2 linked regions of the Drosophila melanogaster genome follow. The protein of the gene in region 2 interacts with the protein of the main gene of each other region in a pairwise test. Each region holds a gene or a part of one and is shown on either strand. Other genes may lie near its edges. The genes, in order: Fer2 and NfI.

Evidence for each region.
Region 1: the proteins of NfI (region 2) and Fer2 interact in a two-hybrid assay, tested with the Drosophila melanogaster proteins (one large-scale study listed by BioGRID).

The regions. Positions count from the first base shown.
Region 1 is NT_033777.3:16,148,790-16,153,103, forward strand, and holds Fer2 (48 related 2), read right to left. Parts: upstream 2,524-4,314; 5' UTR 2,432-2,523; coding exon 2,385-2,431; intron 2,019-2,384; coding exon 1,825-2,018; intron 1,762-1,824; coding exon 1,491-1,761; intron 1,394-1,490; coding exon 1,182-1,393; intron 1,127-1,181; coding exon 999-1,126; 3' UTR 580-998; downstream 1-579.
Region 2 is NC_004353.4:273,143-278,163, reverse strand, and holds the start of NfI (nuclear factor I), read left to right. Parts: upstream 1-1,794; 5' UTR 1,795-1,873; intron 1,874-2,444; 5' UTR 2,445-2,503; coding exon 2,504-2,584; intron 2,585-4,247; coding exon 4,248-4,403; intron 4,404-4,451; coding exon 4,452-5,021.

The sequences.
Region 1 (4,314 bases), on a different chromosome or scaffold from region 2:
ATGACCAATAGATCAAACAACAGCAACAAAACCAAAAACAAATTGGAGAAGCAATCGAAAATTCAATTATTAGGAGCGTAGTTCAGCCGTGTCATTGTGTTTATGTTCATTATTGTGAGTGTGCATTATGTAATCGTTTCTATTTAGTACATACTTATGTGCGCGCATTTGTATTACCATTGTAGCCAAGGTCAACACAATTTGAGTATTAGCCAACGAAATCTGGTCGAGTTATCAAAGCGAAATTTGAAATTTAACAGAGTTGAACAGATTAGTTTAAGCGCATATGTACCTACGTACGTATGCCGTAGGAGTAGTAGCCAAAAGTTTCTAGTTGATATCTTCCGCATGTAGTCCAAATAGAGCAAGTACATAAATATTATACAAATTACATACATGCCTAACCATCGGCAGCGCATTTAGCCCTCCTTTTACCCAACAACAAACATTTTGTGTTCTAAGTTATCTTGTTGATCAAAGAAGTATTTATTTTCGAGTATGTGTACTTTGATAGGGAGCTATGTTAATGTCTACGTCTAGTTAAAACATGTATTTACTTTTATATATATAAATGCTTTTAAAGTTGTTACATAGTTGACTAACTGTAAAACGTCTGTTAGCTGCAACTGGTTTGTCGGTTTGTCAGATCGGTTGCCCAATACTCAATACTATTTACAAAAGATTTATCCTGAAATATAATTTGAGGAATTGATTTGTAAATGCATTATCCTGCGAGCCTTTGAAACCAATAACTATTTATTAAACACAGTAGTGGGCTTCAATGGCAGATGGGTCTTGTATTTCGTGCAGCCGAGACGCTTTTCAAATAAAATACTATTGCTAACTGTTAGTAACTGTAGAAATATGTCCAGCCTTAAACTATTTTGGGATATCAAAACCTAAAGGGAAGACTTTGTAATCTTTGGGGAAGATCAGAAGCTTAAGTGGTAAGTGCTTTCAGCAGTTGATAGGCTAAGCCTCAAATATATAGAGCGAATCTACGGCATTCCGCAATGAGCTCCGCACATGGGTTCCGAGGAGAGAGCCAACGAGGTAAGCAGGGTTCGCCTACCAGGATGTACTCCGAGGTTCTCCCAGTTGATCCACGACAGACGAGCTGTGAGATCTGCGAAGCGAACCATTTATTGACCATTGATATTCCGACCAAATTCTCTACTCACCACTCGTATTCCAATTAGCCCTATCCGCTTTGATCTCTCCGCGCAGACACTTCTCCACATAGGTTAGGGGATCGTAGTCGGTTTGTAGTACCTCACGGAGCAGAGATATATAGGCGATGGCAAGCCGCAGAGTGTCGATCTTGCTCAGACGTTTCTCGTACGGAAAGGTGGGTACATGGACCCTTAGCTCATCGAAAGCCGAATTGATGCTACTGCAAAGCGCAAAAATACAAAAAAAAAAGGAAAGCTTGTTAGTTATAATTTCTGGTTAAGAGATCGTGGGATAGTAAGTTGTAAAATGGAAAAGACCATTTGGTGTACCCAGTTGGGGCGGACCTCTGGATGCGTTTCCTTTCCCGCACATTGGCCGCCTGTCGCTGCATTTTGTAGCTGGACGCAGTTGCAGCTCCCACGGATCCATATCCAGGATTGGGACCACCTGCACCGCCAGGAGTAGCAGATCCTGCGTTGCCGCACCCTCCTCCACTGCTGCTGGCACTGGGGCTGTTGCACATTAAGGGTGCTCCTCCCCCGGAATTGTGCACCCCCATTGGATTGGTAGAGGAGTCGAGCAGATTTTCTGAGGGATTTCAGAAAGATATTCAAGGTGTCTTGACGTAAATATATTTATTCTCCGTCATACCTCCGCTATGTTGCATATAATGCTGCTGGATGTGACGCAGGTTGTTGGAGCTCAGACGCAGCCCAGAACTGCCACCGCCACCTCCCGATCCACCACCTCCACCGGTGGCGCCTCCGCCTTGATGCTGACCCGCATAAATGCAGGAGGGCAAATCGTTAATCAGATCATCGTCGAAATTGTGGAAGGGTAAATGGCTGTTAAAGGTAAGAATTGAACATTTGATGATTAGGACTGTATTGTAAAGTCTAAAGTAATTAATTTTGTATCCGTGTATTTAATCAAATCGAGATACCGACGGCACTGACGAAAGTCAGTTCAGATTCTGGGCGCGACTCCACTTCTGCGCGCATACTTATGTAAATAAATAGATTTATTTTTTATTAAATAAAACTGTATATATGAGCAATTATTCAGTTATTTGATTAAATAAATATGCATACGTTTTTCGTTTATGTCGTACATTAAAACATTTTCGAATTTTATCATTATAATCAGAGAATAATTTACGTATTTATTATAGTATATTTATTATTTTATATATATTTATATAACATCCGTACCTAATGGGCGGTGAAGACGACGAATCCGGCAATTGATTTCGCGACATTTTCTTATCAAATGTGTTATTTTTTCACTAAACAATATTAATCCAATTAAAATCTAGAACGACTATTAACTTTTCCGACACTTTTACGCACTTCCGCTGTCCAATAAGTTAAAAACTTTAGTGAGTCCATCTCCCGGGAATTGCGAGCCTTTTATAGTGCCGCAGATCCAATTGGAAATGCCACAACTCTGGCCAGGACCTTTCCACCCCTAAACGTCCTTGCAGCCAGTTACCGTGAGCCGTCTACGAGATGGGCGGAGCTTGCCAAGTACAGGGTGTTTGCCCCTGCAAATGGAGCGGATGCTGTGGGAAATTCGTTGGACTTATTCGCCTCTGGCTACCCTTCAATTGCTGGGCGTAGATCTGGATTTCAAGTTAATTATGGTAGTTGATTTGCCCGTCTACTTAGAAATCAGAATGACTTTGATATTTGTTCAGAAACATGTTTTATACAAGCCATCCTTATTAAATTTTTTGGCTTAAAGTTATTTTAAGAAAAGTTAATAAGTAATTTTATTGTGTTTTAAAATATATATCCCGATTTATTTATAATTTTCCTTAATGCACAAAATTGGTTCGTTGATTGTAGGACAGCTTAAAGTCTCGCTAGCCGAAACAATACCATTGCAGCCACTCCCCTTTAAGATCCAGCTCCATTCGCTTTGTGCTTCCTTCACCTGTTTTTGACATTCTGCCATTATATTTCGCACAGCAGGAAGTCGCCATGTTTGAGTCCACCGCTTTGATGATGGGGGAGGACGAGTGGAGCTTTCTGGAGGCGGGGGACCCGTCTAACCTAACCCCAGATAACCCTCCCGCTTCCCCTTTTAAAATCAGTTTTTACAACCATATGGGGAAAGGGATATACGATGAAATCTGCTGGTAATCGGAGTACAAAATAGGGGCCCATGGACCTGTTGATTTGACTCGACTAAAGTTCGATTCCCACGGGACGAGGACACAAAGCAGAGTCAGGGCAATTAGATCTAAGGCAGATAGCTGGTCGCTACATTTCACGGCTCATTTAACCTAACCAGAACAAGAAACAGGATCAGGATCAGAATCGGGATCTGGAACCACTCGAAGCCGCAGTCTTTGTCAGCAGTCGTCACGGGGCAATTGTTGAAATTGAATTATGTTTATTTGATGTTTTGGTTTGCTCGCAAATTAGCTACGTCAGAGAATCCCCGCCCAGTCGGGCGACCTGGTCGCGTGCCCTAACCCGAGGCGCGAAAATCCCGAGCAGACCGATCCGCAGAACAAAGGGACTGGCAATATGTCAGGGATGCGGATGCGCAAACCTTTTCATTACCAGACAAATTTGCTTGTCGCACGCGTCGGCGCACACTTCGTACACCCCTCGCACCCAGAACTCCGGGCTCTGATGACAGTAATCAGTTTTGATGGAGGGTAAGTGCCCGAATCCTGTGCAGAATTCGAGTTCAGACCGATTGAGCTGGAGATAGAATTGTGGTGCCGCGAACAAAGCTGACATCCTTAAGTGAAATCTTGTTACCAACCAATGTAAACACGATTGTTAATTTAACTTTTGCAATTGCCGCAGGAAAGCCGCCCTTTAGACCGGTACTTCCCCTAATCCTAACCCTAACCCATAACCCACTGAGGTGGACTTGTCATCGCACCACAATTAAATTATCGCATTTCAAACGAGTGCACCCAAGGAAGTGTAAATCACGAACTGTGGGAAAACCAAAAATAAATAGATTGAATATCCTAAACCCATTTGATTTGCATATAAGAGTATTACTTGAAATGTTCCTTAGGTCTAAGCCGTATGGAACATGCCAATTTAACTGAGGGTTATAAACGTAAGTTAGGGTTAAGGTCATTTGAATGGGAATGTTGTGGGAATATAATATTAT
Region 2 (5,021 bases):
GCCTTGTTTGCCGAACTACTTTTTGAACACACACAGCCACTCCCAAAATTTAAATGTAAAGTTATTGTGCGCTGCGTTTCAACGGATTTTCTGTTGGATACGGACATAAGGTAACAATATGGCAGCGTTTTCTAGGCTTCCGCCGAGCGTAACAACAACACGTTAGCCCCACATTTGCTCCGACTGGTCTTGCCGGTACCACGCATATTCAGTTTTTATGAACGCTCCTGGCATCAATTCCTAAAACATTTGACAAGGCCATAAGCACAGTCCTGACACGCGCAGGGGTTTATTTTAGGACTGGACTCGCCGGGTCAATGCCATGGTTTGGTCTTTACTAGTGTCGTACCTATCCGGATTCTGCCTTTCAATTGATTCATGATGACTGGCTATTTAGTCTTTGAAATGCTTAAATGGGCCCACTTTAAACGTTAATCTTCGGCGTCTCCAATGTCCACGGTTTTTCCGTTTGTGCAGGTCAGTCTTTGTATCTTGCTTTCTTGCTTTTCCTGCCGCCTTGCCCTCACTCGTGAAGTCTCGCTTTTCGTCCTCCCTCGCCGTCTGTAACCTGCCTCTCTATCTATCCTCCCTCAGTAAGCGTAATCTGATAGACGCGGAAGTCAACTATCCCATCCCAAATGCATTTGGGATTTCTTTAATCCAATTATTTCGACGCAAAATATCTTCATCTCAAAAGCGAGAAAAACTTTATTCCAAATCAATAAAAGTCTATCGGTCTTGATCGGGTTTATAGGGTAAAATCGCTCTTTTTACAAGAAGTTGACATTCATTTCATCCAATAACCAAGGCCTTTATGGTCACCACTTATAATATGGGGGTGTACTATGTTCGTTGAAATGTGTGTAACATGTTGAAGGAAGCGTTTCGAACAAAAAAAAACGTATTACTGATCAAGATCAATAGTCGAGTTGATCTGGCGAAGTCTTTCGATCTCAGGAACTATTAAAGCAGGAGAGTTGAGATTAGAAAGGAAGATTCCAAATGTTCCAAATGTACGCACACAAACCGCCTTTTCCATCAATGTGCCAAACAAGTTTTTGCACTGGGCACTCTAACGCCCATTTTTGAATGTTTTTATTTCATTCCCCAATTTCTATCGATATTCCAGAAAAATTAATTACTGGAATCTGAGAGTCTTTGAACTCGATGACCAAAAAATTTATTTCGCCATATTGACTAATTTCAACAAACAAAAAACCTTTTTAGGACTTCAGAGGAGGAGTGGAATCTTCGGAAACGAACTTGCACAAATTCGACATTCTAAGAAACTACGTACTTAAAATCAACCTTCTAAACGGATACGGCCATTTCCTTTCTTATGGAATAGGGAACTGTTCTTTGTACATGTTGCTTAATTTTAAACTAATATAGTATTTTTTAAAAAAAATTTTGTGCATTCACACCTTGATTGATCTATAGTTTTTGCCATAAAATGTGTTTTTTAATATAAAAACTTCCGAGTTCCTTTTAGTTAGGCGAATTAATATTGTCATCAAGCTATTGGGCTTGGTAGATATTTCTGACATGTTGAATTTTTACTGTAGTTGCGTGTCACATGCGCATTTCGAATTTCAATGAGCTCTCTCGTTTAGTTCCAGTCTCTCAGAGCACTAGTATCCATTTTTAGAACGTTTGGTTCGCTCGGGCCCTTTGGGTCGCTTATGTATTTGTTGATTAATTTGGATTCATGCACATATGTATGTCTCTCAAAGAGAATAACAGTTGACGAGAACAAAAATCCAAGAAGTCATCTGTGATTTGCCCATTTTAAATTTAGTCTATAAGCACAAGTTTTGCATAACACAGCTACTCAGTTATTGTTCCGTGTACTAGAAATTGCCTTTATATACATGTAAGTGTTAACAAAAAAAATATGAAATTGTGTTTTTCACATAATTAAAACCCGCGAGGTCTTAGAACTGACTTAACTTTAAGAAGGACTTTATTAAAATATTATGGTAGAATACCATTCATACTACTAGTTTACTTAAAGAAAACAAATTACAGTTGCATTTTTAGATAGTATTACAGGTTGTAGTTTAATAACTTTAAAGACGAGCGGACGACTTAATTCTCTATACATTATTGTGCGTAAGCACATGAGAAAGTTTACTTCTTATGTGATTCTCGGTAACTTTTTTGCGGATTGTCCCGACAGTAATAGCCGAGTACATCGATACCTCAGATATGCGTTACTCAGCTGAAGGGCCTTTAACGGAGATAAAGACATGTAAGTTGGGAGGAATCCGTACCGGTGGTTAAATTAATTGCTTGGCAGTTACTCGCTGGATCTTTTACAGGTTTTTCGAATTTGTGGGCGTTAGACGGGCGTTGAAAATATTGCTAGGAACATTAATTATATTTATATAATAAAATACACAGCAATACTACCTAAACTCAATACATTTTTTGATTCACTTTAGACTACGTTCGATATAGACAATGCAATAAACGATTCAATGAAAGTAACAATACCTGAGGTATGTTTATACCAGAAACTTTAAGAGGCTGTATGATCGAGACGGACGTTTCTTCTTATTTGCAAACATCATCATCGGGACAGGTAAAGCGCCGTCGGTACCTTTTTTAGGTTTTTACGAAAAATAGTGATGCTTAATCGAAAAAGTCTGTAAGTTATTTAGTAAGATAGATGCGATTAACAGTGAGATAATTTGAAGAGAACTAAGTTATGCTCTCGAATACGTATATTTTAAATTTTACAAGACCAAATTTATCACGATAGGTACAAATATAGTTTTTTCTTAATCGGAATAATTCGCATGCTTTTTAATATCAGACCTTCTATATTTCTTGAGTTAAATTATAATAATTAGTTTGCCTTCTAAATAGTAATGGAAATTTCACATATAAATAACAAACTAAAACTAAACTAAAAGGGTTGAAACCGCAACCGCAATGTATGTACATTAAAAATGAATCCCGTCATATTATGAATAAATTCGAAACATTGTTTTTATCAACATTAGAACGAAATAAAAAAATGTGGAAAAGTAGGGAAATTATTCACAGAACACTATTTACATTTATTTGTACATATACGTACGTATATACACAGTATACTTGTTTTCTAATTCGTTTGATATCCCATATCATATCCCACCCAGTCGGAAGTTTGTGAACATATCCAGGAAAAGCAGTATTACAGAGTGCTTCATTTTCCACAAACAACGTTACAATTTTTTCCCACAGCTAAGAAGCTGGCTTGAAGCATTGAATAGATGGCGTCGTAGAGCGCCCAAACGTACTGCTTTTAGATGTACTCATTTGGATACGTAAAGGAAAATAAAAACCCCATCGTGCATATTCGGGTACAACGAACCCTGTTCTGTTTATACACAGACTCTGTAGAATCTTTTCATCCTTTCAGTTATATTTTAATATTAGATATACTCTTATTAAAACTATGAATATTAATATAAATTTTCAAACATATGTATGTGTACGCACGTACATCCAACTAATATTTTAAAAAGATCAAGACCATATATATACATTTATGTATATATGAACTTTTTTCTCAAAAAATGTGTACGTTTGTGTTCACACATATGTTAGAAGGGCAAGCACATTTTAAACAATCGTTACTTACAACAAAGCAAATGACAAAAGGGATAGAAGCTGACAAAAAAGGTCGTAGCATTTTGTTGTTTTATTGCCATTCTGTTTAGGTGCTCTTTAAATTTTGAAACGCAAAGATCAGTCAGTTTTTTGCAAAAATTTAGCGACATCTTTATGTTTTGTATTTGGCAAGTATAAGCACATAATATTTATAAATTTCTTGATTTGTTTAAAAAAATGTGACAATTTCACAATTGCACTTTTAATCGAAATATATTTTTAAACAAAAATATAATATAATTTTTAGTACCATCAGGAATGATGGAATACGTAGTTTTTTGTATATATACATAAGGTGGTGCAAATGGTTTTTATTTGTAAATTTTTGTCGATTTTTTAAGCATTCCTTGTTTTGCACTTTAGAACTCTAACTACAACTATAACATACCTCACCTATCTTTGGGATTGTCAAGTATTTAAAACTTATTACAGTTAGAGGCAATTAGGGACTTTTAAGTCTCTGTTCTATGGTCCTTAAATCCGTATTAAGCTTATTGTTAATATACAAAGTACATTAAGTTATATGCACTTAGACATGTAAAATTATTTAAGATCAGTAACTAATTAAATGCCTTTTTTACATATAGGATGAATTTCACCCTTTTATTGAGGCACTCTTACCGTACGTCAAATCATTTTCCTACTCTTGGTTTAATTTGCAAGCCGCCAAACGAAAATATTATAAGAAACATGAAAAACGTATGTCACTGGAAGAAGAAAGACATTGTAAAGATGAACTCCAGGTATTAATACAAACAATTTTTACAAAAGTATAAAATCGTTTTTTTTAGAATGAAAAGACTGAGGTGAAGCAAAAGTGGGCTTCCCGTCTTCTTGGAAAACTCAGAAAAGACATTACACAAGAAAGTCGAGAGGATTTTGTGCAATCTATAATCGGGAAAAGAAAATCAATTTGTGTTCTCTCAAACCCCGATCAAAAGGGAAAAATGAGACGAATTGACTGCTTAAGACAGGCTGACAAAGTATGGCGGCTTGATTTGGTCATGGTTATACTCTTCAAGGCGATTCCATTAGAAAGCACAGATGGTGAGCGGTTAGAAAAAAATCCGGAATGTTTACATCCAGGATTATGTGTAAATCCGTACCACATTAACGTGTCTGTTCGGGAATTGGACTTGTACTTGGCCAACTTTATAAATACTCATAATTCAATTAACAATACAAATACGACTTTCTCAACTACTCCGGGCGTAAGATCGCCACATATAACTATGTATAATCGAAGTAATGATCCAAACAGAAAAGATGAGGTCGCTGACATGAAAAATGATGTCGTTAAACAAAACCCATATAATGGTGTTGTTTGTAATGATATTATTTTAGCAACTGGCGTGTTTTCT